Linked DNA regions of Arabidopsis thaliana. Each later gene encodes a partner of the first gene's protein in a complex. Each region holds a gene or a part of one and is shown in the gene's direction. Other genes may lie near its edges.

The links.
Region 2: LSM2 (region 1) and LSM8 share a complex: the UniProt entries of both Arabidopsis thaliana proteins name them as parts of the heptameric LSM2-LSM8 complex.
Region 3: LSM2 (region 1) and LSM1A share a complex: the UniProt entries of both Arabidopsis thaliana proteins name them as parts of the heptameric LSM1-LSM7 complex.
Region 4: LSM2 (region 1) and EMB2816 share a complex: the UniProt entries of both Arabidopsis thaliana proteins name them as parts of the heptameric LSM1-LSM7 complex.

What each region holds. Positions count from the first base shown.
Region 1 is NC_003070.9:815,713-823,820, reverse strand, and holds LSM2 (Small nuclear ribonucleoprotein family protein), read left to right. Parts: upstream 1-4,257; 5' UTR 4,258-4,523; coding exon 4,524-4,526; intron 4,527-4,742; coding exon 4,743-4,901; intron 4,902-5,540; coding exon 5,541-5,660; 3' UTR 5,661-5,887; downstream 5,888-8,108. Other genes in the region: AT1G03350 (BSD domain-containing protein), read left to right, coding at 1-987; AT1G03340 (uncharacterized protein), read right to left, coding at 2,594-3,083, 3,155-3,226, 3,320-3,662, 3,744-3,924, 4,038-4,109; AT1G03320 (uncharacterized protein), read right to left, coding at 6,054-6,646, 6,725-6,794; DBE1 (debranching enzyme 1), read right to left, coding at 7,198-8,108. UniProt on the Arabidopsis thaliana protein: Component of LSM protein complexes, which are involved in RNA processing. Component of the cytoplasmic LSM1-LSM7 complex which is involved in mRNA degradation by promoting decapping and leading to accurate 5'-3' mRNA decay.
Region 2 is NC_003070.9:24,431,354-24,439,498, reverse strand, and holds LSM8 (Small nuclear ribonucleoprotein family protein), read left to right. Parts: upstream 1-3,204; 5' UTR 3,205-3,257; exon of another isoform or gene 3,258-3,326; intron 3,327-3,604; 5' UTR 3,605-3,628; coding exon 3,629-3,665; intron 3,666-3,760; coding exon 3,761-3,801; intron 3,802-3,894; coding exon 3,895-3,969; intron 3,970-4,312; coding exon 4,313-4,389; intron 4,390-4,670; coding exon 4,671-4,722; intron 4,723-4,801; coding exon 4,802-4,854; intron 4,855-4,945; coding exon 4,946-5,036; 3' UTR 5,037-5,296; downstream 5,297-8,145. Other genes in the region: AT1G65710 (serine/arginine repetitive matrix-like protein), read left to right, coding at 1,075-2,442; AT1G65690 (Late embryogenesis abundant (LEA) hydroxyproline-rich glycoprotein family), read left to right, coding at 6,601-7,063, 7,562-7,857. UniProt on the Arabidopsis thaliana protein: Component of the nuclear LSM2-LSM8 complex which is involved splicing nuclear mRNAs. LSM2-LSM8 binds directly to the U6 small nuclear RNAs (snRNAs).
Region 3 is NC_003070.9:6,602,898-6,610,158, forward strand, and holds LSM1A (Small nuclear ribonucleoprotein family protein), read left to right. Parts: upstream 1-5,217; 5' UTR 5,218-5,390; coding exon 5,391-5,451; exon of another isoform or gene 5,452-5,599; coding exon 5,600-5,668; intron 5,669-5,755; coding exon 5,756-5,871; intron 5,872-5,974; coding exon 5,975-6,037; intron 6,038-6,187; coding exon 6,188-6,265; 3' UTR 6,266-6,472; downstream 6,473-7,261. Other genes in the region: AT1G19110 (inter-alpha-trypsin inhibitor heavy chain-like protein), read left to right, coding at 1-87, 174-386, 479-568, 683-799, 880-1,149, 1,249-1,405, 1,492-1,569, 1,662-1,762 and 4 more; AT1G19115 (uncharacterized protein), read left to right, coding at 3,454-3,459, 3,547-3,607, 3,715-4,016, 4,142-4,286, 4,569-4,588; AT1G19130 (RmlC-like jelly roll fold protein), read right to left, coding at 6,648-6,968, 7,076-7,197. UniProt on the Arabidopsis thaliana protein: Component of the cytoplasmic LSM1-LSM7 complex which is involved in mRNA degradation by promoting decapping and leading to accurate 5'-3' mRNA decay.
Region 4 is NC_003071.7:1,175,832-1,183,779, forward strand, and holds EMB2816 (Small nuclear ribonucleoprotein family protein), read left to right. Parts: upstream 1-4,139; 5' UTR 4,140-4,293; intron 4,294-4,385; exon of another isoform or gene 4,386-4,427; 5' UTR 4,428-4,474; coding exon 4,475-4,477; intron 4,478-4,562; coding exon 4,563-4,644; intron 4,645-4,746; coding exon 4,747-4,818; intron 4,819-5,135; coding exon 5,136-5,188; intron 5,189-5,335; coding exon 5,336-5,425; 3' UTR 5,426-5,681; downstream 5,682-7,948. Other genes in the region: AT2G03850 (Late embryogenesis abundant protein (LEA) family protein), read left to right, coding at 1-39, 409-766; REME1 (Pentatricopeptide repeat (PPR) superfamily protein), read left to right, coding at 5,729-7,621. UniProt on the Arabidopsis thaliana protein: Component of LSM protein complexes, which are involved in RNA processing. Component of the cytoplasmic LSM1-LSM7 complex which is involved in mRNA degradation by promoting decapping and leading to accurate 5'-3' mRNA decay.

The sequences.
Region 1 (8,108 bases):
AGCTTCAGTTCGAAACCATATAGTCGTTTCGATGCTCAGATTCGTGCTGTTCAAGGAGATCTCAACACTTACTGTGAAGAGCCTGAGGATTCAGATGATTACAAAAAGTGGGAATCTGCGTTTTCTCTGGATGGAAAAGCTGAGGAGATGGAGAAATTGTTGGAGGAAAATGGTGATATGAAAGGAGTGTATAAAAGGGTCGTTCCGAGTATGGTTGATCACGAGACCTTCTGGTTTAGGTATTTCTATAGGGTTAACAAGCTCAAGCAAGCTGAGGATTTAAGGGCTAATCTTGTGAAACGAGCCATCTCTCTGGATGATGAAGAAGAATTGAGCTGGGATATTGATGATGAAGAGGAGAGCAGCGAGAAAGTTGTTGAAGCTACCAAAGATGTTTCAAGGTTGAAACTTGAAGGGAATGATGGTATGGGTGGTGGAGATGTGAGTGAAACTGTGAAAGATGAAGTGGAAAGTACATATTCAGTGGCTAAAGTGAGCACGCAAGATGAAGTGACAAGTGCAGATTCAGTGACTGAAGTGAGCAATGTTGGTTTGAAGACAGATAAAGATTCTGAGGAAAAGAAGGAGACTGATAGTGAGGAAGTTCCAGAAGAAAAATCATTTGTTGATGCTGCTCCTCCTGCGTCTGATGAGGCTCCAATCCAAGATTCTGTCAAACCAACATCTGATGAGGCTCCAATCCAAGATTCTGTCAAACCAAAATCTGATGAGGCTGCTCCATCCCAAGACTCAGCTAAACCAGATGTGGCTGCTTCTTCATCAACTCAACAACCATCTGAAGAGGATTTGGGATGGGACGAGATCGAGGATATGAGTAGCATAGATGGTAAGGAAACGAGTCGGTCTGGTGGTAGTCCAAACAGAGCTGAGCTGCGTAAACGTCTGAGTGCTGCAGAGGAAGATGAAGATTTAAGTTGGGACATTGATGAAGATGACGAAGAAGAATCATCATCATCCAAAGCTTAATGTTAGTTTTAAAGTGGTGTGCTTTCTTACTTTTGCCAATCCTTTTACTTGTTTTTACAAGTTTCTGGCGCTTTGCCCCCATTCTTCAGTTGTTTTTCTCTTCAACGTTTCTATTTTACATTGATTTGAAAATATGTTTTTAAATTTTACTTGAGAAGGTGGTTTGAGGAAAGTTTGAATATATTCATCTTGCGATAGTCATTCTCTCCAGTTATTTTGAGTATATCAATCAACTGACCCCTGCGAATTCGGAGCTTTAATTGTGTCAAAATTAATCTCAATTTCTGTCCTTTGTGAAGAACCAAAAAAGTTAAATATTACAAATTGTAAAACTTTTAAAATTAAAACTTCTTAAAACGTTTTAATATTTATAATTTTAAAACTCTTATGAAGTTTTATATAATATATATATTTAAAAATATATTAATACGGGACGATATAATACAATATATTTAAAACTTTTTTGAAGTTTCAAATATTATATAGATTTGAACTTTATAAGAAAATGACAAAATGATGTTTAATTTCACAGAACTAGGATATATGGTGAGACGGTTTGGATCAATATTAATACGGAATGATATACTATGGTAAAATTCTAAAATTAAACAAAATTTACAATATTAATACAAAAAATAACTTAAAATTTCAGAAATTTAGTTATATAAATCATTTCGAGATGTATCATACATAAAAAAAAGCAATAGCATATATCTATAAATCATCTTTAAAACAAAAAAATAAAAATTTTTGAGAAAAATATAGGCTCGTTGTGTACTTCTTAATATGTTTATCATTTATAAATACTATTAACTAAAATAAAATCTTTAACTTGTTAACAAAAATATAAATACGTTGTGTACCCGGATGAATATCTAGTTATTAACAAAACTGTACCATTTGTTTTGTAGAATTTTACTTATTATTTTATTTTTTGGACCAAACCAACTTATTATTTATTGGCATGTCTAGTTAGGGAAAATGTTTCAATTGAACATGTACCGTATGTGTGCATGTATAAATAGAAATTTTATGATTGGATTTTAATAATGCAACGAATCGATGTGAAACTATTAGTGTAAAACCACAATCGACGTCCTTTGAGAATTTACTGGTAAGAAGAACACAGAAAAGGATAGAAAAGGATCTGGATGGATCCAAGAGAAACCCTCGCGTGAGTAATTAACCCTCACTTAAACCCCAATCACCATTTCAAGGCGAGAAAGCAAGTTGTTTCTTGAGTAATCCAAGTTGTTTCTATTTTGCGATTTTAACGGGTCAAAGATTTGCTCTAAGGGAAGGAGGTAGAACAGTTGGAGCCGGTGTGGTATCAAAAGTGATGAGCTAAGTCGCTATAGCAGATTTAAAAGTTCTTCAAACGAAAAAACACAACTGTTCTCTAGTATCTAAAGATTCATCTCTCATGAGATTTCTACTACTTTGAGAGTTTATATCAAATAAACGAGAGATTAGTGTTTTAAAAGAAAAGCTTCTCCCAGTGTGATATCTTCACTTTATTCTACAACCTAACATTGACAAATTAACCTTTAAGCAAGCCAAAGAATGGAGTTAGAAACTAGACTCCAAATCATCAGCATTCCAACATTCAACCAAACCTAAGTGCAACCATGGCAATAACTGTGGCAGCTCTGAAGTAAACTTCTTTGATTCTTCTTTCCACTTTATTTGAGACTTCTTCTTCGTTGATTGTTTTCCTATTGAAATTAACAAGGGCTTCCCTGAGTCTACTCACAGACCACGAGAGCAATACCAAACTCAAACTCATTGCACCCTCGAAGAATTGGTTTGCGCAAAAGGGTACCTGCCTGGAAGCAACATTACAAACGAGAAAGAAGAGCACAGCCATACCAGTGCCAGCAAAGCCAATTGAACACTGAGTCAAAAGCTCGAAGAGTTCTCCACGTGATTTCTTTAGAGATAGCATTGTGGTTTTTCTATGTTGTTCATTGCCTATCATCAGAGAGAGAAGGCTCTCACACGCATGAAGACGGTTTCGTTCGTAGAGGTCATATTCCTTATCTCTTATCTTCGGATTTTGTTTCTTTGGTGAAGGCTTGAGCCTGGTTTTCTTCGGACTGTTGGAAATCGAAAGAAACGTTTTTTAAAGATGCAAAAGTACCAAAAACTAGTTGATGATATTAGATACCTCTTTGGAGGAGCTAGTGTAACTGCGTCCTCGGGTAGCTGCAGAGTGTCTATTGGTACTTCACTGTCGAATCTGCAGAATGAGAGGAGAGCAAAAACTTAATGTTAAACCCAAAAGGATGAGACTCATAGGTATGAATCAAACTTGCAGTGAAGAATTAACTACCGCTGAAACTGCGGGACAAGCCGTGAGAGCTTTCTCCATCTTGTTGAGTTCCTTAATCTATGAAACTCAGCTGCCGTAGAGACCAAATCATTCAATTCAGCTCTGCTACTTGAGAACAGAATGTTAGCATCCACCATGAGATCCAATAACGGCTTTGCATATGGTTGCTGAGAACTTGATCTTAAAGCATCTAGACCCATCAATTCAGATAGGAGAGACAAATCGAATCCTTCTTCTTTGAGTTCTTCTTCTGATCTAGACAAAAGGAACTCTAACACCTCCTCTTTTCTTGCATACTGCTGAGTGATCCCCAAGCTTAAACACACAGGGTCTGGTCCAGTTTCTGTTAACCACAGTTCATGTCAGTCGAAAAAAGGGATTACAATTTGGTGAATTCAACTGAAATTTGATCAAAGTCACATACCATGAACATCCATGAGTCTATGCTTCATCATGGTTGAATCAAACTCCAAAAAGTGGTTAGACTTACTAAAAGAAGAAAAAGGTTTCAATGGCTCCAAGAGTTGTGATTTCAGGTTAAAGGAGCTCTCCGGTAATATCTCATATTTTCTTCCTCCAGGATTCACCAGATAAGCCCGGCTTGTCTGAATCATTCATAGACATAAGAACCAAACAAGGAGAAGACAGAACCAGGACAAGAATTCAACGAGAGATTCTAAACCCAAGTGTTTTAAAACAGAGAAAGTAAAAAACTGACCTTGATGATCTCGTTGCTTCTTAGCTCTTGAAGGAGACTAAACCTAAGTGTTGAATAGCTATGAGAAGCCATTGAGAAAAAACTGACTTCTTATTTTTTTTTCTCTTCTTCGTCACAAAACCATGGAAACAAAACGAAAAAGCTTATCGTCAGCAATCTCGCCTATATATGCGTCAGATATTATAAGATTTGTGTAAATCTTTTCTTTATTCAGTTTTGGCTGGTGACCAAAACACACTTTGAGTTTTTAAATATTTACCCTTTGAGGCACTTATTACTTAAATTACCAAGAACATACCCAATCTTTTCAATAATTACATAAATATACCTTTGGTTTCTTATATTCTCGAAATTAACCCAAAGATCATTAGGGTACATACATTCTTTACTCGAGAGAGAGAAGTTCTAAAGTCCTCAAATCCCGCAAAGCTTTTTCAGCTTCTTTGTTGAATTGCGAGCAGAGGTAGAAATCAGCAGGAAACAAAAATGGTAAATTTGAATGCTTTCTTCATCTTCATGAACTTGATTGTTGGCAGTTGTTTTGTTTGACCTAGAAAAGGTTTCTTCTTTCTTCGTAATTATTCATGGGTTTACTCTTTTTTAGCCAATGGTTCTAGGGTTCTTGGAGATTTCGAGTTTATGGTTTTCGATGATGATTTAGGGTTTCTCGTGATGGGTTTTGATTGTGTTTGTTCTCTGGTGCAGTTGTTCTTTTCTTACTTCAAGGATTTGGTTGGACAAGAAGTGACGGTTGAGCTGAAGAATGATTTAGCCATAAGAGGAACTCTTCACTCAGTTGATCAGTATCTGAATATCAAGCTCGAGAACACTAGGGTTGTTGACCAGGACAAGTACCCTCACATGGTAAATTTTCTTTCTTTTAAGCGATTTCTCTAAGAATTGGGAATTTAGGGTTTATTGGAGCAGCCTATTGTTTTTTTTTTGTTCACATAGGCAATATTTTCTTTGTTGTGTGTGCTTGAAGTGCTCTTAAGTGTTTGACATTATACTGGAATTGATCTCACTCGCTAGTTTCTTGCTATACTTCTTTGTCTCGTATTGTAAAATATCACTTATGAACTGATTGAAAGCTTAATCCTTGGCTCTTGCAAATGTGTTTAAGCCTTCACTCTTTTCTTTTTCCTTGCTTTCATTTACTGTGACCAAGCTTGAGAAGCTCTAACGTGATATTGATTAGATTTACAGACGCAAAGGGATGATTTGAAGTGATTAGTGGTTCTGGTTCACATATTTGATTGAGATTGCTGCTTTTGTACTGCAATTTGTCAAGTCTACTCAGGATTACAAAAGATTTGCAATATGTTTGCATGACCAATTTCAATGCATTTAGGTTTTATGGCGTTTATATTGTTATATCTTTGGCACTGTATTTCTTTATCTTGTCAGTGTCACACTTTAGAAACCTTGTCAAATAGTACAATTTCGCTAGAATCCTCCCGAAGATGTTTTTAGCTGACGGATTTGTGTGTTTGTTCTGTGTAGCTTTCAGTGAGAAACTGTTTCATCAGAGGATCTGTGGTAAGGTACGTGCAGTTACCTAAAGATGGAGTCGATGTTGATTTGCTTCACGACGCAGCTAGAAGAGAAGCTAGGGGTGGCTGATTCTGAAATATCTTTGTATCTCCAAAACTTGAATACTTTTCATTCGGCGTAATGGCTTTATAATGAATATTTCCCTGATGTAGAGCCAATGGTATGGCCATGAATCTTGTTCCATTTTATTAACAATGGATAATTTAATTTCTTTTCCTCGTTCAAATGAAAAGCTTATTAAAGCCTACTTAGAAACACCTTCACTCTTGTCAGGCTGTCACTACTTAAGTTTTTCCCTTTCTTAGATGAAGCAAGCAGAGGAAAAACATATAGACTCAGTAAGAAGGAACTTATATAAAGTAATATGAGTTCTTGTTTGCATAGCAGCAATAGGACCTTAACTCTTGTCATTAATTTAGTTTCTTATTTCTGAGATGAAGCAAACAGAGGAAAAACATAGACTCATGAATAAAAATAGGAGTAATTTTCTGCATAGGTAGTGTAACGCTTCATAGGATTTGCATCCATGTACGGTCTGGTTTGCCAATAGGGGAAAGGACCAGCTGCAGCCATATACGGATATGCTGCAGCCATAGGCGGATATTGTGAAATGTGAACACCATCGAACATTCTGGGTCGAGGCATGGATTGGTATGGATCAATTGGACCACCACAAGGTCCACAACCACCATATGGTCCATGCATTGCCCCCATCGAAAACGGGGGATAATGGCTTCTCGAGGCTGCGGATATGGGCCACCGGTGTAAAGGATTGTGTCCACCATGGTACATCATCGGTTGAGCGGTGTAACAAGGCGGCGGCGGGTTCACACCATTTTTCTCGCTTGGCAAGTTTTTACCACCATTTTCCTCGCTTGACAAGTTTTTACCATCACCCTTCTCTTTCTTTGTACTTGAGTCTTGTGGCCATCTGAGGACGTTCTTATTCTTCTTATCCTTCTCATCTGATCCTTTCTCCCCATTGGAATCTTTTTTCGGATTCTCATTCTTTGAAACTTTCTGTTTTTGTTTCACATCCTCTTCATCAGGCTCATCTGTGCATCATAAAGGCAAAAACTTTAAGATTTGTGAAGATAAAAGTAAGAAATCTTCAAATAGGTTAAACAACTCACCTTCGTTTTTCTTCGATTTCTTCTTCTTCGTTGCTTTAACCTGACACTTTGAGCAGCAACCATCGTTCATTTTTCAGATCACGTTCCTGCTGCTTTCAAAGAAAAAATATAGCTACAGAGAATAACTTGAAGAACTTTTTTGGGTTTTACTTATAGAATTTGCTTAAGATTATAAACCCTAAGCAATCCATATCTTATCCTATCTATACAAAATAAATAAAGATTATATCAATCTTGAAGAAAATCATCTTTCCATATACATACTCGTTTGAATCCATAAAAGGCATACGCGTATCAGAACGAATAATAATCACTGATTTGAGGAGATACAGTATCAAGCTTTGGATACAAGCAAAAGGCTTAAGTGATGTTATATATATATAAGATATTGTGGAAATCATTGATTTAACTGAATATATTCTTACTGGAAATGTAACAAAACAGTAACATATACAAAGATCATAACTTGAGTTCTAAGCGGTAGTATTGATGGTTTCAAAAAGGGTACAACTGTACGGCTTCATCTCATACACAACCAGTTGCTGCAACGGTTCTTCTGCTACAACGGTTTCTCCTTCGACAGAGAAAAACCCCGGGAAAGGAAGAGCTGTGTCGACCAATCTTCTCCATTTGCTTCCATCGGGAAGTGAAGGTAAGACTACACTCTCAGGATGATCACTCGCATTGAATCCGATGAACAGATCATTGCTCTTTGGCTCATTTGGCTCAGCCAATGACGCAGTTTCCTCTTCCTCTGACTCTGATTTGATCTCCAATGCCAAAAACTTAGAAGCAGGATCTTCCCACTTTGGAGTTGTTTGGTCATTTGCATACCAAACAATATTTTCAGGTTTCAAAAAGTCTCTCCTTTGAAACACATCACTTCTTCTTGCTCTTACTGAAGTCATGAAGGAGATAAATTGCGTGATCTGTGTACCGAAAGCCGAAGCTAGCAAGTTCCAATCAAAAGGTTTCCGTGATTCCAACAAAGGCGAGCCCCTTGTCGAGATTCCACATTCATCTCCCATATTAAGCACTGGAACTCCAAGTGATATGTACTGTATAAACAAGAAATTGCGGATTTGTTTTAGCCTTCTTTGAAGAACAGCTGATTTATTCGTTGCTCCTTCTTCCCCACAATTCCAACTTAGCTCTGAAGCTAGCTCAGGGCCACTGAAACTGACTATGTCAACAAGCGAGAGTCCTGAGTTTCTTGAAATGTAGTTGAAGGAGAAGGCCGGACCTCTTCCATCGGTAAATACGTCACCACTTCCACAAATTCTTGTAGCCAGATCACTAAGAACGCCTCTTCCCCTTAAAAAATTTCTTACATTTCGACAATATCTTGTGTTGAGTTCTGCCCATCGCTTCCAATGTGGGAACC
Region 2 (8,145 bases), about 24 Mb from region 1:
AATGGTCATCGTTGTGTATGTATATAGCTTAAAGGTTGATGTCTTGGATGCAGAGGAACAATTAAGTGCCTTATTCTCTCTAGTCTAGTAGTTATTTGCCTTGTAACAATCCTTTGTTATGTTACTATTTGATTTGAGGTTGTTTTATGTATGTAAAATCCAGTACCTAATTGTCTTGGTAATAGAATCTATAGATGTCTCAAAATCGGTCCGATTTTCGATTGTCAACACAAATGGTGCAAGATTTTGCTTTCTACATATATACTCTTTTCTTAAAAAACTACCTCAAAAGAACCTAATTGTCTTGGTACTCTTTTCTTAAAAAACTACATATATATTCAAAAAAACTACCTCAAAAGAAATTGTTTATCGTTTCTTTTTCAGTATTTTAGTTATCTGATAAAATAAAATAAAATTGTTTTTGGGTCCTCCACTATACATATGAAGAAACTTGCACATCACCATTCAGTTTGGTCACATGAGTTAATATTAATGAAAGCACTCGATTAACAACAAATATCATTAATCAAACTCAGTAAATTATTTATACATAAAACGAAATTTTATTTTCAATAGAAACTACTGATGTTTATTTCTTCATATCCTAATTTGTAACCTCATATTCTTTTGGTAAACAAACAAAACCATCAAACATGCAAATAACCGTTGGAATTCTAAAACTTATTAAAAGAATTTTTGAAGAGAACCATTTTGCTTTGAAAAAGGCAAAAAGGGTCAGAGATAATACGACATTGACTGCAGTGTGTATAACGGCTCCAATTTCAAAATTACTATCTTTAATAAAATAAATTAATTCCACTTTGACCCCATTATTCTTCAAAGCTTACAATTTCACCCGACTTTTCTTAATTTTAGAAAGTAATGGGTCCTATCCGAATACTTTCTGAAATAAAAGAACTTTTGTCTGTCACAAATCGCATTACCAAACAAAAAAGTTTGAAGTTTTGAATCTTTTTGTCTTCTTACACAAAAGACATTCCCCTAAAAACTCTCTTGTTCTTGACTCACTTCTACTTCAAAATCTCTCTGTTCTTCAAAATTCTTTGTCACAAAATGGGTTGCTGTCTCAGCAAGAAACCTTCCCCTTCTCTTCCCTCTAGTGTTAAACCCTCAGATCCAATCAAACCCATGGAACCAGTGATTGAGCCTTTGGAGGAAGAAGCAAAACCCAAATCTGAGAAACTGAATCAAGAAGAAGAAGAAGAAGAAGTTGTGGTGATAAAACACACAAGAAGCCATGAAGAGAGATCCAAGAAGACAGAATCAGATAAAGATTCTCCAGTTTCTTCTCCTGTGGCGGCTGAGAAATCGAATTCTACACCGCTTGTGAGAATCTCTAGCTGTACTAAAGAAGAAGTTGATGCTATATTGATACAATGTGGGAAGCTAAGTAGAAGCAACTCTGCTGCTAAAACAAGAAGATACTCTGGTTCTAAAAGAAGCTTTGATTTTGACCAGAACGAGAGAATCCGCGGCGGCGATGCGGCGGAGGAAGACGGAATGCAGCGAAATCGTCACCGTGGAGTAGAGAGAGTGCATGGTTCGCCTCGTGAACGGAGAAGACGAACTCCGAGTAGAGAAAGAGAAAGATCGGGAAGCAGAGAAAGAGGAAATGTCGGCGGTGGCGGCGGTGGTAGTAGGAGAGTGAGTAGATCTCCGGCGAAACGTTCTGAGATTCGTAACGCTGATTCGTGTGGCAGTTCGGTAAATTCGAGTAATAATAGACCGGGAAAGTTTGTTACGATTCCTGCAACGGATAAGAGTAACAATGTAGAGCCGTTAGTAAAACGGATTACGGTTAAGAGAAACATCGGAGACGCTTGCAGAATAGCGGCGTCTCCGAGGTCAAAATCTCCGGCTAGAGCGGGGAATAATGTTCCCTCGCTAAGCCGGAGTAATTCAAGAAAGGCGGAACAATCTCCCTATAGAAGAAATCCATTGGGAGAGATTGATCAAAACACTAAGAAGATGATAGAATCTGTGAAACCTAATTCAAGAACAAGTAGAGGTCCAAGCCCGAGTCGTGTTGCTGTTGTAGAACTTACGAAAGCTCCTCAAGTTGTGTTAAGCAGAAGCAGATCGTTGAGGAAATCTCGAGATTTCGATTTGGTATCAAACGAGGATAACAATTACACTGCATTGTTGTTGAAAGATATTCAGAGTTTTCATGGGAAGAGTGTTGATGATAGCGTGATTTCGCTGCCATTGTGTGTTAGTAAAGCTTGTTCAATTGTTGAAGCAGTGGCTGATCTTAACTCTATGACGAACAGAACTTGTTTGAGGTCTGATTCGAGCCGGTTTAGATTCACATCGACGGTGAAGAAAGCCGATCTTATGGAACCGAGTTTTGAGAAGTATGTGACTGTGAAGAGAGGTGGTGGTTCGTTGGAGGAATCATCTGGTAGCAACAATGTTACGTGACTAGGGAGATTCACTTTTAGCAATAACAGAAACTCGTGTTGTTGCGGTTTAATATGGAGAAATTGTTGTTTTGTTTGTCTATTGTTGTTTCCTTTGTTTGGTTTATTTTGTAATTCAGATGTCAATTTGACAATTTCAATGAATCTTCTTCTTATCTTCAGTCTGGCATAAAACCCAAAAAACCTGTATCGGACCCGAAACCAAACCAAATAATCATATAACCGGAGAGACTTTTAAATAATTTTACACGAATTATCCCAACTGAACCCGAACAGAAACAAAAACCAAACAGTATATCTGAAAAATCGAAACAATATCTACATATTCAAAATTATTAGATGTTTTAAATTATAATTATACCTTAACCAATTAACAAAAATATCCAAAAATATCTTAGATATATTATATATATCCAAAATATCCGAAAATTCTTAGTATTATACCTAAACTAAATGACAAAATTATATATTTTTTGTAATTCAATTTTTATTAAAATTTTGAAAAAATATGTAGTTTTTTCCAAAAACCGAACCAAATAATCATAGAACCCAAATATATACTAAATTTTTGTATCGGATGAATCCAAAAAATCTAAACTGAATCCGATCTGAACCCCGAACCATGCATACTTGGTGGATTAAACAGTTCGGTTCAGGTGAAAATTTTCAGAATTGTCGGTTTCGGATAAAATAACTAAACCGGATAAAATGTTCGGTTCGGTTTGAGTATTTCTTTTAACATTTCGTAGTTAAAAGCAACATCCAAAAGCAAAAACACACGCCGGAGAGTTTTCTAAGAACAACAGTGACGAAAAGGTTTTTAGGGTTTCTTTACCAATCAGAATCTCCGCCAAGTAACGATTTTCAGATTCCGAAGCAGCAAAGGTTAGAGCTTTTCCCTCATACGTTTCTTCTTCTGAATTCCTTGAAACCCTCCGGTGAACCAGAACCTGTTTTACATTCGTTTTCTATTCGGTGGTTTCTTTTAATTTAGGTCAAATTACACTGGAATTATCATTTGTTTCTCGTAATTCTGGATTTATGTTAAGTTTGGTGAAATCTCTCGTTGAGATGGATACGAAATCTATTAATTTTTCATTGTTATCCGTAAGCACACCAAGTGTTCGATGAAATTCCTAGTCTAATTTTTAGTAACCTTTCAGTTCAAATAATTTCCGAACTGTAACATGGCGGCAACTACTGGACTTGAGACTCTCGTCGATCGTAAGTTAGTCTTTTTTTTTGCCATTCTCGATTGATATGTGATGTTCTGTCACATGAATTGTCTAAAGATCTTATCTTTTGATTGGTTGCTGCAGAGATTATTTCGGTGATTACAAATGACGGACGCAACATTGTGGTATGTTATACTCTCTTGTGTGATATCTGGTTTAGAACTCCTTATGTCAATGCAAGTATCTTAGTAAAGAGATCGATTTTTATATTTTTTCAGGGAGTTCTTAAAGGTTTTGACCAGGCTACAAATATAATCCTTGATGAATCTCATGAACGTGTGTTTTCCACAAAGGTTAGCTTCTGATTCCTGTTTTAAAGTATTTTCATCTGAACTTTTCGATGTTACTAAATTGAATGGGTGCAAATACATTTTTCTGCAAGTAAATTGGCCAGTGTATGACCTGCAAAACCTTGTTGGTTTGTATCCATGAGTGGCTATGATGTAGCAGAGTTCTCGATGTCTCCATATTTTGTTTGTAGTGATCGCATAAAACTAGAAAAATAGAGGTACTATAAGGATGCTAGTTTATCTTTTGTTCATTGTCACTCAAAGCATCTTTCGTCGTCTGGTATTGATCTTTTAATTGGTACTACGTTCTTGCTAATAATGTACATTGCTTGATTTAGTTGCGTAGTGTCATCTTTTCAACAGAATATTGAGGAAACTTACTCAGATATTTAAGATAGGCCTTGTCCTACAGTTCTTTGTTTGGTAAGAGAATAGTGAATCATGAACTAACTGGCCTCTGAATGGAAGTATCTAAATCAGATAGTGTTGGATACACCGAAACAGATTTAGTGTTAGTATTCTTCGAGTGTTATAACTGATTGAAAAAATCTTGTGAGTTCATATGTCAAAAGATTTAGCTAGTGATAGGTAAGTCAAATACGTAGATATTGGCAGTGTGTAATTAATTATACATGATCACCTCCTTTTTTTCGTAAGAGGGTTAAAGGTTTGATTCATGTCTGTTTTCTTGTTTACACTAAGAGTATGTCAGGTCATGTTGATACTTCATTAGACAAATGTTCTTGGATATTTTTGGTGTGAAGGCAGAGTTCTGTTAAAATGATGGATATTGGAATTAGGATTGAGACCTCTTACTATGTCTTCATCTTTGCAGGAAGGAGTACAACAACATGTGTTGGGTTTGTACATCATCAGAGGGGACAACATGTAATTCTTATCATCCATCATCATCAGTGATTTTCTAACATTGCAATTGTTTTTTTGTTTCAATAAAAAAAATGGTGTCATCTTTGATCAGAGGTGTTATCGGGGAGCTGGACGAGGAGCTTGATGCTAGTCTGGATTTTTCGAAGCTGAGAGCCCATCCGTTGAAACCCGTAGTGCATTGATTGAATATAGTTATGGTGAGAAAATCTAATTCTCTCATTCAAAGCCTAAAAACAAAGAGAAGATTTGATTGTAAACAATTTGGATAGTTTGTTTTGATGTCTGGAGTTGTCTTATTTGTGTATCCTAAGGACAAAAGCTATATGATATTTTATGTCTTAAACGTTTTGGTCGGAAACTTAAATCATACAATCTTTTGGACGGACCTAGGTTTGCTACTAGACCACAAATTCTTTGATTAGAAAAAAAACTTTTATTGTTAACCAAAATTTTATAGATATTCAAATTGCAAAAGAAAAAAAAAAGAGGAATTAGTTTCTGGTATCTTACAAATTATAATGTCGTTGCAATTTCATCTAGAAGGATTATATACATCATCAAATCTATCAACATCAACAAATGGCCGTATTTAAAACTTAGAAGCATCATACATTTTCTATAAGACAACAATATAGATATTAACTTAATATGTCATTCTCCCATAGTCGCATCATACAAGTCGTTGGTTTTGGTAATAACTCGCCAAAACCAAACACTTCTGATTTCATCGGAGTCTTGGGTCTTCTTTTACGATTCCAATGTAATATTCTTCATATTAAGTGATTTATTTCTTGAAATTTTTCATAGTAAGTGTTATCAGAAGCTTTTGATTTTTGGTTATTAATATGAAGAACAAAAGAATTGCGTTCTAAAAATTTTTCGTTGATAACGATTAATATTAAACAGAAACACTACAAATAAATTAACATCGTTGGGGCCTAGGGATTTCGAATGGAATTTTATTTGCAAAAAAAATAATAAAATAAAGCATGTTAACAAAAAAGTAAAAGAAAAAAAATTCATGACGAAATGCATGAGAACACTGCTGCATAAGTCTTAGGGGATTAGGTCAACAAAAGTAAAGTAGATCTTCATCAAATGTATTTTGACTTTATAATGTACCTATTAGTCAAACTATATGCGATCTAAATATTAAAAACTTGTATTTTCTCAAAGACAATGCGAGGCGTAAATATATGAAATTTTATTTTGTAGATTAAGTACCATTTATATATGAAATATAAATAAATCAAGAAGAGTAAACATGAAAGAGCAAAAGAGTAAATAGAAAAAATTATAGGAAATAAAAAGAAACAAATAGTAATTGGAAAATATCTTAAGTGGATATAACTTTTAGTTGTTTGATAATGTATAGGACTACAATATATGTATTTTCCAAAAAGTCATCCTAATTTTTCCATCTATATTGCAAGTAATTTGATACCTACTAATGATTTTTATTTTTTTTATTTGATGGGTTCACATCAAACTCAATTTCCATAAAAGACCGCTACCTAAGCAGACACGCAAATTCACATTACACGTGTGATGTGTTGTATGGAAGCGAATGTACTTGTTTTTCATAATCTATAGGTTCATATAGAGAAGTCTCTCCATTGAAAAGTTCTTCCCTCTTGACTTTAAAAACTCCATAAGGTCCCTACTTATATTAATTTCCCAAACCCCTAAATAAGATCTACAAACAAAGCTTCTTCTTCTTCTTGGTGTCATCAAGATTTTCCAAAAATGTCTCAACACCAAAAAATCTATCCGGTCCAAGATCCAGAAGCCGCAACAGCGCGTCCAACAGCTCCTTTGGTTCCTCGTGGTTCCTCTAGATCAGAACATGGAGACCCATCCAAAGTCCCTTTGAACCAAAGGCCACAACGGTTCGTGCCGTTGGCTCCTCCAAAGAAGAGAAGAAGTTGTTGTTGCAGATGCTTTTGCTACACGTTCTGCTTTCTTTTGCTTCTTGTCGTTGCAGTAGGCGCATCCATTGGTATACTATACCTTGTCTTTAAACCGAAGCTACCGGATTACTCTATTGACCGGTTACAGCTCACCCGGTTTGCACTGAACCAAGACTCGAGTTTGACTACGGCTTTTAACGTGACTATAACCGCTAAGAATCCGAACGAGAAGATTGGAATTTATTATGAAGATGGGAGCAAGATTACCGTGTGGTACATGGAACATCAACTAAGCAATGGTACGTCACTTTTGGTTTACTCCGGTTTGCTTTCTTTTGGTTTTTTAACGTAGGAAGGCTTCAAAATCTCACTACAAAACCGGTTTATTTGGTTGATTTCTGTTCTTTTCCTTTGGTTTGGTTCGTACACAAGGAAGACTTTAAAACTCTTTTCAAATTAGGGATGTCTAAATTTTTTTGGTTGGCTTTGGGTTTACTTTCATTTTGGATTAGGATTGTCAAATACTGTATATCTTTAGTTTCAAACAAAATTTGGTTTAGATAGTTTTTGTTCGGTTCATATTCAATAGTTCGGATATAATAGAGTTAATTCATTCAAATCAATCGTTTTTGGTAGAGTTGGATCATACCGGTTTATCCGGACTGAAAACCCCAAAACTAAACATATTTATTTATGTTGTTTGGTTTTCTTGTTTGATTATAATTCGTTTACACCATTTCAAACCGGGTCTTCTTATAGATTTAACTTCATTGAACTTTTGTGATTTTTTTGAATAGGGTCGTTGCCAAAATTTTACCAAGGACATGAAAATACGACAGTGATATACGTAGAAATGACTGGTCAAACACAAAATGCATCGGGTTTAAGGACGACATTAGAAGAGCAACAACAAAGAACCGGGAATATACCATTGAGAATTAGAGTAAACCAACCGGTTCGGGTCAAATTTGGGAAGTTGAAGCTCTTCGAAGTAAGATTCTTGGTCAGATGTGGTGTATTTGTTGATAGCTTGGCTACCAATAATGTTATTAAGATTCAAAGTAGTAGTTGCAAATTTCGTCTTAGGTTATAGATCCGTTTTTTTTTATATAATTAATATCGAGATATACAGAGGGAATTTTGTCAGATATAGTCACATACTCATATATAGTTCTCCTCTAAAGTACATTATTGTGTCTCAGACCTTTGTTGTATAATAAACTGTTGGTTTAAATTAATATATTAAAGTATACAATACTATGTACATAGGTGGAATTCAAAGTATAGTAGTTGTAAGTTTTTAAAACCAGAGCATGTCCACCACTCCACCTTACCTTCTTTTAAGCAAACAATTGGTTGAAGGTAGACTCCAAAATTCAGT
Region 3 (7,261 bases), 5.8 Mb from region 1:
GAAGATGGAAACGAATTTGAGAAAACGGCACTACCTGAAACTGGTGGCTTTTTGAAACCTAACATTTTCACTCTTACTATACCACAGGTGATTTGGAGTTAAATGTTCTTCCTCTTGTGTTTTTCTTTATTCTTCATTCTGATTATGTATATCGTTTCTGTTCTTGTTTTCAGGTTGATGGAGGTACCAATCTCTCTATCAAGATGACTTGGTCTCAGAAGTTGACGTATAACCAAGGGCAGTTTTTTCTTGATATTCCTTTCAACTTTCCTGAGTATGTGACTCCTGCGGTAAAGAAAATCTCAAAAAGAGAAAAGATTTACTTGAGTGTTAATGCTGGTACTGGAACAGAAGTTCTCTGCAAAGGATGCAGTCATCAACTAAAGGTTTGATTTTATAGATTTTTCTGAATACACTCCATAATATTTCAATTTTTTTGCTCTATCATTTTAACTCTTATTCCTTTCTTTTATTACAGGAGAAATTGCGGAGTGCAGGGAAGTTGAGGTTTGCATATGAAGCAGATGTTTTGAAGTGGTCGAACACTGACTTTAGCTTTTCTTATACGGTATTGGCTTTAACTGGTGGTGCTCCAACTTCGCGTATGCACTTGCAAAAAATTTGGATTGAATTTAGTTGTAAAGAGTGCTTATGCTTTTATTTGTTTTCTAATAAATCGTAGGCCTCCTCAAGTAATATAGTTGGTGGACTTTTCCTTCAATCTGCGCCTGTTCACGATGTTGATCAGAGGGACATATTTTCTTTCTATCTTTTTCCAGGAAAGCAGCAAAAAACTAAGGTTTGATTTTTAACTCTTTCTTTTCTCTAGCAATAAATTCATTTGCATTTTAATCTTAAGTTTTGTTTTGTCAACTTTAGGCATTCAAGCGGGAGGTAGTATTTGTTGTTGACATAAGTAAAAGTATGACTGGAAAACCTCTCGAGGATGTAAAAAATGCGATATCTACAGCTCTATCTAAGCTTGATCCTGGAGATTCTTTCAATATTATCACTTTCAGCAATGATACTGCTCTATTTTCGACATCAATGGAGTCAGTCACTTCTGATGCTGTTGAAAGAGGCATTGAGTGGATGAACAAGAACTTTGTCGTCGCAGATGGTACAAACATGCTCCCTCCCCTAGAGAAGGTCTTTCCGCCACTCATTTGTAGCTTAACATTTTGGTGATTATATCCCCTCTGATTGAATCCTGACATTAATTCGGCTAACTTTGTTCAATACTTTCAGGCTGTGGAAATGCTTTCAAATACTCGTGGCTCTATTCCTATGATCTTCTTCGTAACAGATGGGTCTGTTGAAGATGAGAGACACATTTGTGATGTAATGAAGAAACATCTAGCTAGTGCTGGATCAGTGTTTCCTCGGATACACACTTTTGGGTTAGGTAAACTTTTCTCCAAGGTTTTGATGTTAAATAACCCGGATCGTTTTATTTACCTTTTCGTTTTTGGATTCTTTGCAATATTTCAGGTGTATTCTGTAATCACTACTTCCTGCAAATGCTTGCAAATATATCCTGTGGCCAGCACGAATCAGTTTATAATACAGGTGAAACTTTGACTCTGTTTGGTGAATTAAAGGAAAAAGTTAACATCTGTAATATAGTTTCTTAAACAATGTTCTTCTTCTTTGATGTCCAGATCACATTGAGGAAAGAATGGACAAACTGTTTACAAAGGCTTTATCCACCATTCTTGTTAATATAGCAATTGAGCCCCTTCAGAGTCTAGATGAAGTTGAGGTGTGCCTCTATGCTTGCTTGACTTTTCTGGGATTTTTGTTTCCTTCCGATTCTGTGAAGTTGATGCCTAAAACTGAAACTGTTACCTGTGACTACAATAATAGGTATACCCTTCAAATATTCCGGATCTGACGTCTGCAAGTCCATTGATGATATATGGAAGATACCGAGGAAAGTTCCCCGAGAATGTGATAGCCAAAGGTCTGCTAGGAGATTTGAGCAGCTTTTCGACAGACTTGACTGTACAGAGTGCAAAAGACATGCCTCTTGATAAAGTAAGATCTACGTCCTGCTCAGTATCATTCCTATGGAGCTTCTTTCGATAAAGACTTCTGGGTTTATTCATAATTCATCCTTTTCCCTAAATTTTAATGTTCAGGTATTTGCAAAGAATGTTATTGACTTGCTTACTGCTGAGGCATGGTTTTCTGAAGATAAACAGCTAAAAGAGAAGGTTTGTCTACAATTCACTTCCCCCACTGCCTCTTTCAGGATTTGCTTCTTCATTTTGCTTTATCTTCTTCGCAGATTGCTAAACTAAGCATCCAAACCGGCGTACTATCCGAGTATACTCGAATGATCCAATTAGAGAACACAGAAGAATTGAAACCCAGCGAAACTGGCGGAAAGAAAAAGGTAGGTACTACTCATTTATATATCTAGAAGTTATGAACTAAAATCGCCACATTCAAGCAAAACCTAGTGATTAATTCTGTTCCAGAGGACCAATCCAGACTCATTATAACATATATTCACTAAATATTTCAACAGACAACAAGCAACGGCGAGAAACAGAAGATGATATCAAGAACGATCCCGCTACAAAGCCTTGGGATAGGATTTGGGGATAAAACAGCCACCAGAGAGAATGTTCCGCCAGGATTTGGCGAGCAGAAAGCTCCTGATGCTGCTGAGAAGTTCGTCAAGGCTGCTTCGAGCTGTTGTGTCTCCTTGTGCAACAAATGTTGCTGCATGTGTTGTGTCCAATGCTGCTCTAAGCTCAATGATCAATGTGTCCTTGTCTTCACACAGCTCTTCACAGCGATTGCTTGCATCGCCTGCTTTGAATGTTGCTCAACTGTTTGCTGTTCTGGAGACGATGGGTAGTTAGTTAAATTATAAAAAAAAATCGGTTTTGAATTCGAGTGTAAAGCTTTAAAAGTTTCAAAGTAAGTTTGTACATTTTACATACACACTGCATGTAATTTCTGTACGGCCTGATCAAATATAAAAGCTGTGGGTTTTCTGTATAGTTGCTACAGGGAAGAGAGTGTAAAAGAAGGGACAAATCCATGTGTTTCCTTCACAATTTACTCGATTTCGATCTCTTAAAATGGTCCACATATTATAAGTATATAACGCAATTGTGGTGTACCAACAAAGTCCACAAAGATGGGATCAAGTGCTACAAAAATGGTGACTTGAAGTCGTAAGAAACTGATATCGAGGGTGTATAGAAACTTGAACCCAATTTTCTAATCGCTGGCTTTTTGCTGGCTTCTGGGACTTGTGTTTACTGTGTCTTTAAAAACATGGGACCACTTGATCATCTTTATCTCCTAAAGCTATTTCAAGAAGTAAAAGATCATTGACAGAAAAAGAAAATTTCTTGGAGAACATTGACAGAAAAAGAAAATTTCTTGGATAAACACACACATACATGTGCTTTTATATATGCATGTCTCTGAAATATGAAGGTTGGTTTTCATATATGTCTAAATCAAATTAATAGTGTTGATCTTTCTTTGATCGTGCAAAAATCTTGATCTTGTTGTTCTACACAGATTTTTAGTTGGGTTCAAAGAAAGCTTAGCGGAAAGAAGCGTGTGCCTACTTCAGATTCTTGTGAGTAAATATTCTTATTATTCATAGACTACATGAACAGTCTTCGCATAAATCATTTGAGCATATTTTCATATTTTTGTTTCATATGTTTGATGATGTATATATAGCTCAAGAACCATCAAGTCCTCCTTTGAGTAAAGAAGTCCAAGGTTTGCCTCAAGACGAAGAAACCTTCTTAGCCATCGGAACACTTGGAAACAATATCTTCCCCAAGCAAGAAGAAGAAGAAGAAGAAACAGATTCTAGCAAAGATATAACTCCGGTTAATACAGATGTTACTATCGGGAAGAAGAAATCGCTTTCTTTTCTTCTCAAGAAGATGTTTGTTTGCACAAGTGGCTTCAAAACTCCACCTCCTCTTCTTGATTTATCTAGAGGAGATTCATTGCACAACACACGAATGGAAAAGGTAAGCATATATGATCAAATTATTCAATCTTTAAACAAAATATTATTTTTATTATGAAAAGAAGTGAATTCAATAATAGTTATGTACACTAGAAACATTTTTTCCATATGTTATTTTGTGTGTAGATGCTAAGGACAATACTCAACAAGAAGATACATCCACAACGTTCAAATTCTATAGCAAAGAAGTACTTGGAAAGTAATCATAAGATTATGGATGAAGCTCGTTCAAGTGTTGACGCCAACAAATGGGTCAAGACTGATTCTGAATGTGAGATTTTCTAAAATTATATATATTTGGTTTTTCAGGTCGCAAAAAAAAAAAGTTTTATTTTAAACATACAGATGGTGTAATTAACCAAGTGAATATCATGACTGGCTTTATTGCAGTATTTAGTTAGGTCAAAAGCATATAATAAACATCATAAGGACTGAATTAAAATGCAGAAAGATGAAAAGTAAGAATTTAAAAATAGATAAATAAACAAATAGAAAAATGTAAACAAGAATAATGGATAGGGTAAATTAATTTAAATTTCTTTGATGGTTACAGATATTGTCTTGGAGATGTAGATATCAACCAATAAGCTAAATGGACCTGATTGATAGTCATGGTAATAATAGAATGTAAATAAAAACCAAAGTTTTTTCTTATTAAAAATTGATTTTCTATGTAAAATATAAAAAGTAGCAAACAAACATGATCACTGATTCAAGACAAATAATCAAAAATATGTTTTTCAGGTCTCAATTGAGTGATGGTGTAAGTTCAACTGTTCAAGATATGAAGAATAACATTGGAGAAGGGTCATAAAAATATCTCTGATAATCAGTGTTTACAGATGTATATTTACTTGTCAAACTCCATTTTTCATCATAGATTTGTTTTTATTTTTTCAGATTTTAATGTGGTGAAGAAAATCTGTTTGCTCATGTAAACTACAAAATATTCATCTTATCAAATAATTTTATTTGTATTTATGCAGTTTGAAATAAGTGATGAATAATGAAGAATGACTGAGATTTCTTGTTAAATAATAAAATGAAATGAAGGAAAACCCAAATGCAAAATAAAATGGGTTGATTATGCAATAGTTACGAAGTTTTGGGGTTTTAATGTATTTTTCCTAAAATTGAAAAAAAAACTCAGTCTGACCAAACTTTGACAGAACAGAATCGTGCGAGCCGTCAGACTTAACGAAAACGATCCATAGATCTCAAGTCTCTCTCTCTTAGTGAATAAATTAGGGTTCGTTGATTCTCTGTTCTTAAGCTCAGTAATCGAGGAGAAGAAGAAAAGGGAAGATCGGGAATTGGGAAACTGAGAAGTCAAAAAGGCAAATGCGAGTGGAGGAGATTGAGTTTTAGAATTCCAATGTCTTGGGCTGCTCCTGATGATATCTTCTTCTCCACTTCTCTTGCTGCTTACCTAGACAGTAATCTCTCTCACTCTCTTTCTCATTACTGATTCACCGGCGATGAATTCTGTAAAAAAATAAGATTTTGATCCCCAATGGTTGTTGAAGATGTTATCTTCTTCTACATGATTCAATAGTCTCTTAATGTTTTGATTTCTTGTTGCAGAGAAACTTCTTGTGTTGCTTCGTGATGGTAGGAAACTGATGGGTCTACTTCGGTCCTTTGATCAATTTGGTACTTGTCTTTCTCTTTTGCACCGAAAATCCAAAGTCTTTGAAATGGTTTTAAGAAATGTTTCGTTTGTTTTTGGTTTTCTTGAAGCTAATGCTGTTTTAGAAGAAGCTTATGAAAGAGTCATTGTGGGTGATCTCTACTGTGATATTCCCTTAGGTCTATACATTATCCGTGGAGAAAATGTTGTCTTGATTGGTGAATTGGTAAAGCTTTTACTAAACAAACCAATTCCTCTTGCATTTTGAAATGAAAGTTTCCACTTTTAAGAACGATTTCGGTGTTTGAATCGGGTTTCTGTGATCTTAGGACGTGGAAAAAGAAGAGCTTCCAGCTCATATGGTTCAGGTTCCAGAAGCAGAGATAAAAAGGGTTAGTGCAAATATCCTTCTCTCCCTTGTTGATTGCTTTAGCTCTGATTTGTGAGCTTCTTGCACAAATGTACTACAGCTGATTTGCTTTTATTTGGTTTAGTGTTTTGGATTCTACTGACTCCTCAATTACTCTCTTCCGTATACTCAGGCTCAGAAAGCAGAGAAGGAAGAAATGCTTTTAAAGGGCACAATGCGGAAAAGAATGGAGTTCCTTGATCTCGATTAGGGCATTTTCCTATGTGTTGCAGCATTGTAGAAACTAGAAGATCTCAAGATGGAGGATACAGAAGATCCTTAAACGTCATAATGTTAGTTGATGTGTGTATGTGTGGATGACATTGATGAATCCTCAGAACTTAGTCGTTGCAGATCCTCTGCTCTGTTTATGGAATGAAATTGTTGAGCCTGTTCTTTACTGGCCATTTATTTGATCAATCACAATTCAGTAAAAACAAAGATACAAAGATGAAAAGTGAACTCAAAGTACAGTTACAACCTTTGTATGATTCATATGAAAAGTTGAAGTAACAAAGCAAACATAGTATCCTTCTCTTAGTAGTTACCAAAAACCATTGAGCCAATAAGGCGTCTCCTCTAGGTAGGCCCTTTCACTCCGGGTAAGATAGCATTGTGATGAGTGACTCGTGTTGCGGAAACCTTGATAAGAGATCAGAGCGTTTCGCGAGCTCAAAGTCCTCGAACTGGAAAGCAGGAGCGCAGGTGCAGCCAACAAGAGAGAAATGGTTCTCAGAGTCTCTAGCCTCAGCTTTAAGCAGAGCCCCGTCTTGAGAAAAATGAACATCCTTTGTAGGAAACGAACCAAACCAGACGTTTGGAGGGACCGTGTACTGAGGCTTCTGATCACCTTCAAACAAGTCAGGACCAAGACATGTGAATTTCAACTTCCCATCATCGTAGAGTTCCACTACCTGATCAAGGCAAGAAGAAGAAGCCATATTCAAGAACATGGATTATATTCTTCTTCTCATTATACAGTTTTGTTCACTCACTGTAAAGACAAGAGCTTTGAACTTACAGTAAGGGGTTCACCCAAATAAAAGTGCCAGGTTTCAGCCATTGGTATGCGATGAAGACGAGAAACGCTCCCAGATGGAAGCAAGAAGTAGATACTTGTGCTCACAGCTCTGTCCACCTTAACTGCAGAGATTCAGAAAAATATATAAAAAAGGATCAAACTTGCGAGATGATCTGCAATAACCCA
Region 4 (7,948 bases), on another chromosome or scaffold:
TAACTCAAAACTCGACCCCAAATGGCTCGATGATGCCTCGTAAGTCTATATCGTTAATACTGATTTTTCGTTATACTATTATAAGAGATATTATGATAGAAAAATCATAAATGATACATTATGATTTAGTAATATGTTTCACCATTACTTTTTACTTTTTGGTCAATTGTTTTCAAATTTCTGTCAATTTTTTATAGTTATTTTTTTAGAAATAAAATTTGTTGATTTTTTTTTGTTTGATAATTTATTCTCTTGAGAGTTTTTTTGTTAACTTTATGAAATATTACACATAAATTTGGTTTTCATAAAATGGGAACACTAAGTATATAAATTTGGTTTTCATACAAAACACATTTTTATTTGTTCATGTGTAATAATTTTGTAAATTGTCACACACACACACAAAAGACAGAAAGCTTCCGACTACGTGAAGGAGAAGGGAAGCGAAGTGGGACATGCGTCTGCTCAGAAAGGGCAAGATGTTAATGATCATGTAGATAGAGCAAAGTACTATATGTTTGAGAAAGCTAGTGAAGCAATCGACAATGTGGCTGAAATTGCTCAGTTTGCTTCGGAGTTTGTGACGGAGAAAGGCAAGGAGACGAAGAAAGAAACTGCTTCAATATCGGAGAAAGCCAAAGACTTCATTGTTGAAAAAGCCGGTGAAATTATAGATATAGCGACGGATGTGAGCAAGAAAACGGCCAAGTACGTCGGAGATAAAGCCAAGGAGGTTAAAGAAGCTATAATGCCTCCAAAAACTTAAAGTAAAGATTTGATGCAGCCCTAAACATATACGAGGTCTTGAGGCAATGTAGCAAAAAATATGTATTATTATGCGAGATAATGAAACTGTTATAATCAGAACTCTAAGACACGCCTCTTTAATCATTGGAAAATTCTCTTCTAAGTATGTAGTATGAGATAATAATTAGGATCCTCCTAGCAAGGTAATGATGCCTAGAAATAAGGATACAGTAACCCAAGTGATCAAACCGGACTGCAACAAAACCAGAGAAAGTAACAGATCGATCAATTTCAATTACGGTTATCATTTGAATTAACCGGTATTAACAATCAAACCGGAGAAATGAAGAATCGGTTTTTACGCTTATGGTTGATCTTGTTTCTTCCTCAGTTTTGTTCCACAAACAAGAATAAGATCGCTTTATCTGACAATAACAAGACCAGACATTACTTTTGCAGTCCATCAGCTAAGTCAGTTCATTTCAGTACCATCAGATGTTCATCTTCAAGCTACATACAAAGTGCTCATGTATATTAAATCTAACCATGGTCAAGGTTTAATGTACTCAGCTGATTCAGAATTATGCTTGAATGCTTTTGCGGATGCGGACTGCGGAACCTGCAAAGATACACGTAGATCAGTTACTGGTTATTGTGTTTATCTTGGTCACTCTTTCATGGAAACTAAAGAAACAATCAGTAGCTATTCAGAGTAGTACAAAGCCTGAATATAGAAGTCTTGCTCATGCCACTTGTGAGATTATTTGGCTACAACAGCTGCTTTAAGACTTACACATCAAAGTTACTTGTCCGGCAAAACTCTTCTGCGACAACAAATCAGCTATCCACATTGCTATGAACCCGGTATTTCATGAGAGGACTAAACACATAGAGATAGATTGCCATACAGTTCGTGACCAAATCAAGGCTGGTCATCTCACTACTCTACATGTTCCGACTGAGAATCAACATGCTGATATTTTGACAAAACCATTACATCCCGGTCCATTCCATCATTTACTTCAGAAGATGTCAATTTCAAATCTTTATCTTCATAAACCAGACACTTAGAACGTAAAGGTTTGAGAGGGGCGTATTATGATATATGGTGCGACAGGTTAACATCAGTTATCTGATGGTTGGTTTAGTATGGTTATTAGTGATGTATATATAAGCTTAAGTACACTTTATTTAGATTAAGATTTTGTAAAAACATTTACATGATAATAAAGATTCTGTTAGATATGAGTTTTAGCTCTCCTCTGTTCCCTTCTCTAGCTTGATCTCTCCGGTGTATCAGACTTCAATAGTTTATAATTTACTTTTCGATAACGATTATGATTTGTCCAAAAAATAAAAGTGAAACCAAAATTTAATTAAACAAGAGGGAGATTATAAAATAGTCCTCACTACGGCTGGACACGAAAAAATATCCTGAAAATTAGTGATATTTGTTATTCGATTCGTTTTAACAGAATAATTGATTTTATGATTTGCTTTCATCCAAAATATTCGGATACCCGAATTTTTTTTGTGATGATTATGGATATCCACTTTGATATATCTATTTTTTTTATATATAAATTATTTGATATAGTTTTAAAATAAGTTCCAAAACACACATTGTTGATATCACTGATCAAGAAAATGCTATTAAATTAATTCTAAAAACCAAAATCCGATAGTTTAAGATGCCACTAACATGAAAGAAAAATGACCAAACTAATAACTTAACACAATATATCCAAAGGAGAAAAACTAAAGTTACAAATACTACAAACCCAAAATATACAATTATACAAACTATATTATGATATCTACATATATATACATGACTATATATTCTAACTAGATAAGGATCCGTCCGATGGACGAATTTATTTTTTTATAACTAAAATTAAATTCAGTAAAAATAATAAATAATGACGTTGTAAGTAGAAATTATCTTTCAAAAGTAAAATATATTTATTTTTACTGTTTATTGTGTTTTTCACCACTAATATTATTGATTAAAAATTATTTGAATGAAAAATATATCACATTGACTAAAACCCTTTATATATAAAGATGATCTATCAACGTTGACTAAAAACTTTTGAAATCATGACATATGATAAAACTTTTGATTGATAACTTATTCATGATAATATTAGTTACTAATTTTGAGAAAAAAATCTATTATATTATTTATAAAATGTGATATCCGTCAATGCTGAAGATAAATGGTTTTAGTAGAAAAGCATTTTCAGGCCGATTTGACCCGACTGAGTTCAAACGGATGTATGTGGAGCTTTTACAAAATAAAGTTGACTCATTTTTAGTTATCTATTTTGTATTTACTTTATCAGCGTTGGATTAAGTAAGACAATGACAATCTTTGGAAGTTACATCGTCTCGTTGGAATACGCACAAATGAAGTCTCACTCAGGCTACGATGACCAATCCAAGCAATAGAGGAGAGATTAAGAGTCTTAGAGTCAAACTGGTCTGCAAAGAACTTTATAAAGTGATGAGGATCAAATGTAGAAGATTTGAAGATGACATAGAAGAAATTTTCGAATTCACATGTAATTATAAGTCTTTTGGTTTTGATTCATGAATAAAGTGATTCTTTCTTCGTTAATGATTGAGATTTCGGTTTAGATTTTTTTTTTAGTCTAAATTAAGGTCAACAACACGTTTGAATCTTTATTCATCTTTTTTTTACGGCTCTAATATCTCTTAATTTTACTCGATTTGGTGTTATTTAAATTTCGATTCGGCCGTTGAATACCTGAAATTTTGCTAGGTCAAGTTATTCAAATCTTTTTAACAGAGATATTTACTATTTGCGAGTTTATAAATGTGTGTGCATTTTTCGTAAAAGAATCAAAAATTTCTTTTTTGGAGTTTTGTGTCGATAGATGGTTAAGAGATTTTACCAAATGATTTACTTTACGACTTACAAGTACTTCACAAGTTCATAGTTAAATTTTAAAAGCGTTGCTCAGAATTAGAGGTGGATCAAACTTATGTTTCGTTTTAATTTTATTTTTGGTTAAATTTGTTAGTAATTGTTTTTAATAGGTTGTGCCGTTGTGGTAAATTTGCTTTGTGTTTACCAGTTATCTTGTTTTTTAAACATCTATTTTATTAGATTAAAAGTAAGGAGTATAATGACAATGCTAAATTTAGTTGTCTTTATTGTAATTTCTATTCAGATGATGTTTATTCTTCTTAGCTAACTGAACAATTGTATTACGATTTTATTAATTCCTAACTAATATCCCCTTCCAATTTTATTTCGGGTTTAGTTAACAATTTAATGTTTAGTTATCGGTTTATGGTTCAATTTACGGTTCAGTTCAAATAATATGGTAACCATGGTTAGGGATTTAAACCAGAGTCCTTTACGAGATCAGAGTTAAAAAACAAAAAGCGTCACTAGGAAGCTGCGACTATTTGACTGACTCTGATTTCACGCGACTCCTTGTGAGATTCTCCGATTGCTTCGCCTGAGTTTCTGGGTTAACTCTCCACGCCGTCACTTTGATCTTTGCTTTTCCGGTGAGGTTTCTTCATCCACTTGTTGATTTCCGAATTCACACATTTTCCGAATCCACTTGGGGCCAAAGAATTGCAAACCCTAATTTTTAATCATCAACTCTATTCTGAACCAATTTGATTTCCGTTTTTTGCAGATCTTTAGGGTTTTTGTTTAGGGAATTGTCGAAGACTCTGCTCTAACATGGTAAAGTTTAACCTAAATTGAAGTAGCAAAGTATCATTGTTATATGAGTCGAGTTAATTCTTAAGCGAGTGTTTGTTATTCACAGTCTGGAAGAAAAGAAACGGTTTTAGATTTGGCCAAGTTTGTAGATAAGGGTGTGCAAGTTAAGCTCACTGGTGGTAGACAAGGTAATAAAACAAGTGTTTCTCTCATTATGCTCCAAAGATGATGATTCTTTCTAATGTTTTCTCTGAGATTTGTTTGATAGTTGCTATGTTTTTTGCTTGCAGTGACTGGAACTCTTAAAGGCTATGACCAATTGCTTAATCTTGTTCTTGATGAAGCAGTCGAGTTCGTTCGAGGTATCTTTTATCTTACCTATATCTACTGCATTGATCTTGTTAGGCTACAATTCTCTAGTGGAATCCGCCTCTTAGTAAACGAATCTCTGTATTGCTATGAAGTTTATTACTCTGGTTCATACAGATGTCTCCATGATGCCATTGGAAGATATATGGAAATTTTGATTAGAAGAGACTGTTTGATTGCTTAATCATGTTATGTTGGTGATATGAATGGGATGATTTCATTCTCTTAGCTAGATTTTGAAACTAGAAGTGGGATCATATTTCCATAGATCTAACTCAGTTTTATGACCCTTGTGTTATGTTTTGATCAGATCATGATGATCCTTTGAAGACTACGGATCAGACAAGACGCCTTGGTTTGATTGTATGATTCATTTACCTTCTTTTTTCATTACTATAAGTGTAATCCTGTTTAGTGCAAATAATATCATTGTTTCTTCTAGCATCGTGTTATTTGTAATGGAGTTCCATAGTTTAGATGCTAAATCATGATGGTTTGTCTTGTTTTTAGGTTTGCCGTGGAACAGCGGTGATGCTTGTCTCACCAACCGATGGCACCGAAGAAATCGCTAACCCGTTCGTTACTGCAGAGGCTGTCTAAAGACTTTCTTCTCAAAGAATATGTCTCTCTATTAGTTTAACTTGGCGATTTAGAGAGTATTTCATCTAACTCTCTGGTGTGATGTTGGAAACATATATGTTCAATTTAAACAATTTGGAACATCATGGACACTTACCTAACTTCGTTCTCAAATCTCGTTGTGCCAAAGCACAAAATCTCCTTAACCAGAACTGAAGTAAACCGGAAAAATCGAATGTCTGAGTCTTCTCGTTACTGAACCATGGATTTATAAGCGAGTGATTTGAAATTTTTGAAGTTGTTTCCATAGTTTTAGTGGAGACGATGAAGTCAGTAATGTCAAAGATCAAACTTTTTAGACCAGTCGTCACGTTACGTTGTTCTTACAGCTCCACAGATCAAACTCTTCTTCTTAGCGAATTTACCAGACTCTGTTACCAGAGAGACCTTCCCAGAGCTATGAAAGCAATGGATTCATTGCAAAGTCATGGTCTTTGGGCAGACTCTGCAACTTATTCTGAGCTTATCAAGTGTTGTATATCTAATAGAGCTGTTCATGAAGGGAATCTCATTTGTCGTCATTTATACTTCAATGGTCATCGACCAATGATGTTTCTGGTTAATGTTCTGATCAATATGTATGTAAAATTCAATCTTTTGAATGATGCTCACCAACTGTTCGATCAAATGCCTCAAAGGAATGTTATTTCTTGGACTACGATGATTTCTGCTTATTCTAAGTGTAAGATTCATCAAAAGGCTTTGGAGCTTTTGGTTTTGATGTTGAGAGATAATGTGAGGCCTAATGTGTATACTTACTCTTCTGTTTTGAGATCTTGCAATGGTATGTCTGATGTTAGAATGCTTCATTGTGGGATTATTAAGGAGGGGTTGGAGTCTGATGTTTTTGTTAGGAGTGCTTTGATTGATGTGTTTGCTAAACTGGGTGAGCCGGAGGATGCTCTTTCGGTTTTCGATGAAATGGTTACAGGTGATGCGATTGTTTGGAACTCGATCATTGGTGGGTTTGCTCAGAATAGTAGAAGCGATGTAGCTTTGGAGCTTTTTAAGAGGATGAAGAGAGCTGGTTTCATTGCGGAGCAGGCTACGTTGACTAGCGTATTGAGGGCTTGTACTGGTTTGGCTCTGTTGGAGCTTGGGATGCAAGCTCATGTTCATATCGTGAAATATGACCAAGACTTGATACTCAACAACGCACTCGTGGACATGTATTGCAAGTGTGGGAGTTTGGAGGATGCTCTCCGTGTGTTCAACCAGATGAAGGAGAGAGATGTGATTACATGGAGCACTATGATTTCAGGGTTGGCACAGAATGGTTATAGCCAGGAGGCACTGAAGTTGTTTGAGCGTATGAAATCTTCTGGGACGAAGCCAAACTACATTACGATTGTCGGGGTTCTCTTTGCTTGCAGCCACGCAGGGCTCCTGGAAGATGGTTGGTACTACTTCAGATCAATGAAGAAACTTTATGGAATCGATCCAGTGAGGGAACATTATGGTTGCATGATTGATCTGCTTGGAAAAGCTGGAAAGCTCGACGATGCAGTGAAGCTGTTAAATGAAATGGAGTGTGAGCCAGATGCTGTGACATGGAGAACTTTGCTTGGTGCTTGTAGGGTTCAAAGAAACATGGTGCTAGCGGAGTATGCAGCTAAAAAGGTCATAGCACTCGATCCCGAGGATGCAGGAACTTACACACTATTGTCTAACATATACGCAAACTCTCAGAAATGGGACAGTGTTGAAGAAATTCGGACACGAATGAGAGACAGAGGAATCAAGAAAGAACCTGGATGCAGCTGGATCGAAGTAAACAAACAGATTCATGCTTTTATAATTGGAGACAATTCTCACCCACAGATAGTTGAAGTCAGTAAGAAGCTGAACCAATTGATCCATAGACTCACTGGTATTGGCTATGTTCCTGAAACAAACTTTGTGCTACAAGATCTTGAAGGTGAACAAATGGAAGATTCACTTAGACATCACAGTGAGAAACTGGCTTTAGCCTTTGGCTTGATGACATTACCTATTGAGAAAGTCATTAGGATAAGAAAGAATCTGAGAATATGTGGGGATTGTCATGTGTTTTGCAAGCTCGCATCGAAGCTTGAAATCCGCAGTATCGTTATACGAGATCCGATCCGTTACCATCATTTCCAGGATGGCAAATGTTCTTGTGGTGACTACTGGTAACAATCAGATGACTTTAGATTACTATGAAACAGAGTATAAGATGGTTTAGAAGATTGTTTCTCTGCAAGTTTTCTTCATCAAATTTTTTGATTAGTGAATCATTTTTGCTTATGAAGAAGCTCATTGATTTGCCAAATTTTCCTGATAGGATTTTGTAACATTTGCAAAATTGAATATGTATGATAAAATTGGTCATTGGAGTATGGAGACTCACTAATTTAGTAATTTGTGATAAAAAAGAGTTTCTTCAGAATAACATGTATTTAATTGTTTCCTATAAATGTATAGCAGTTGAGTTAATGGGAAGACACTTGCTGCACATGGATA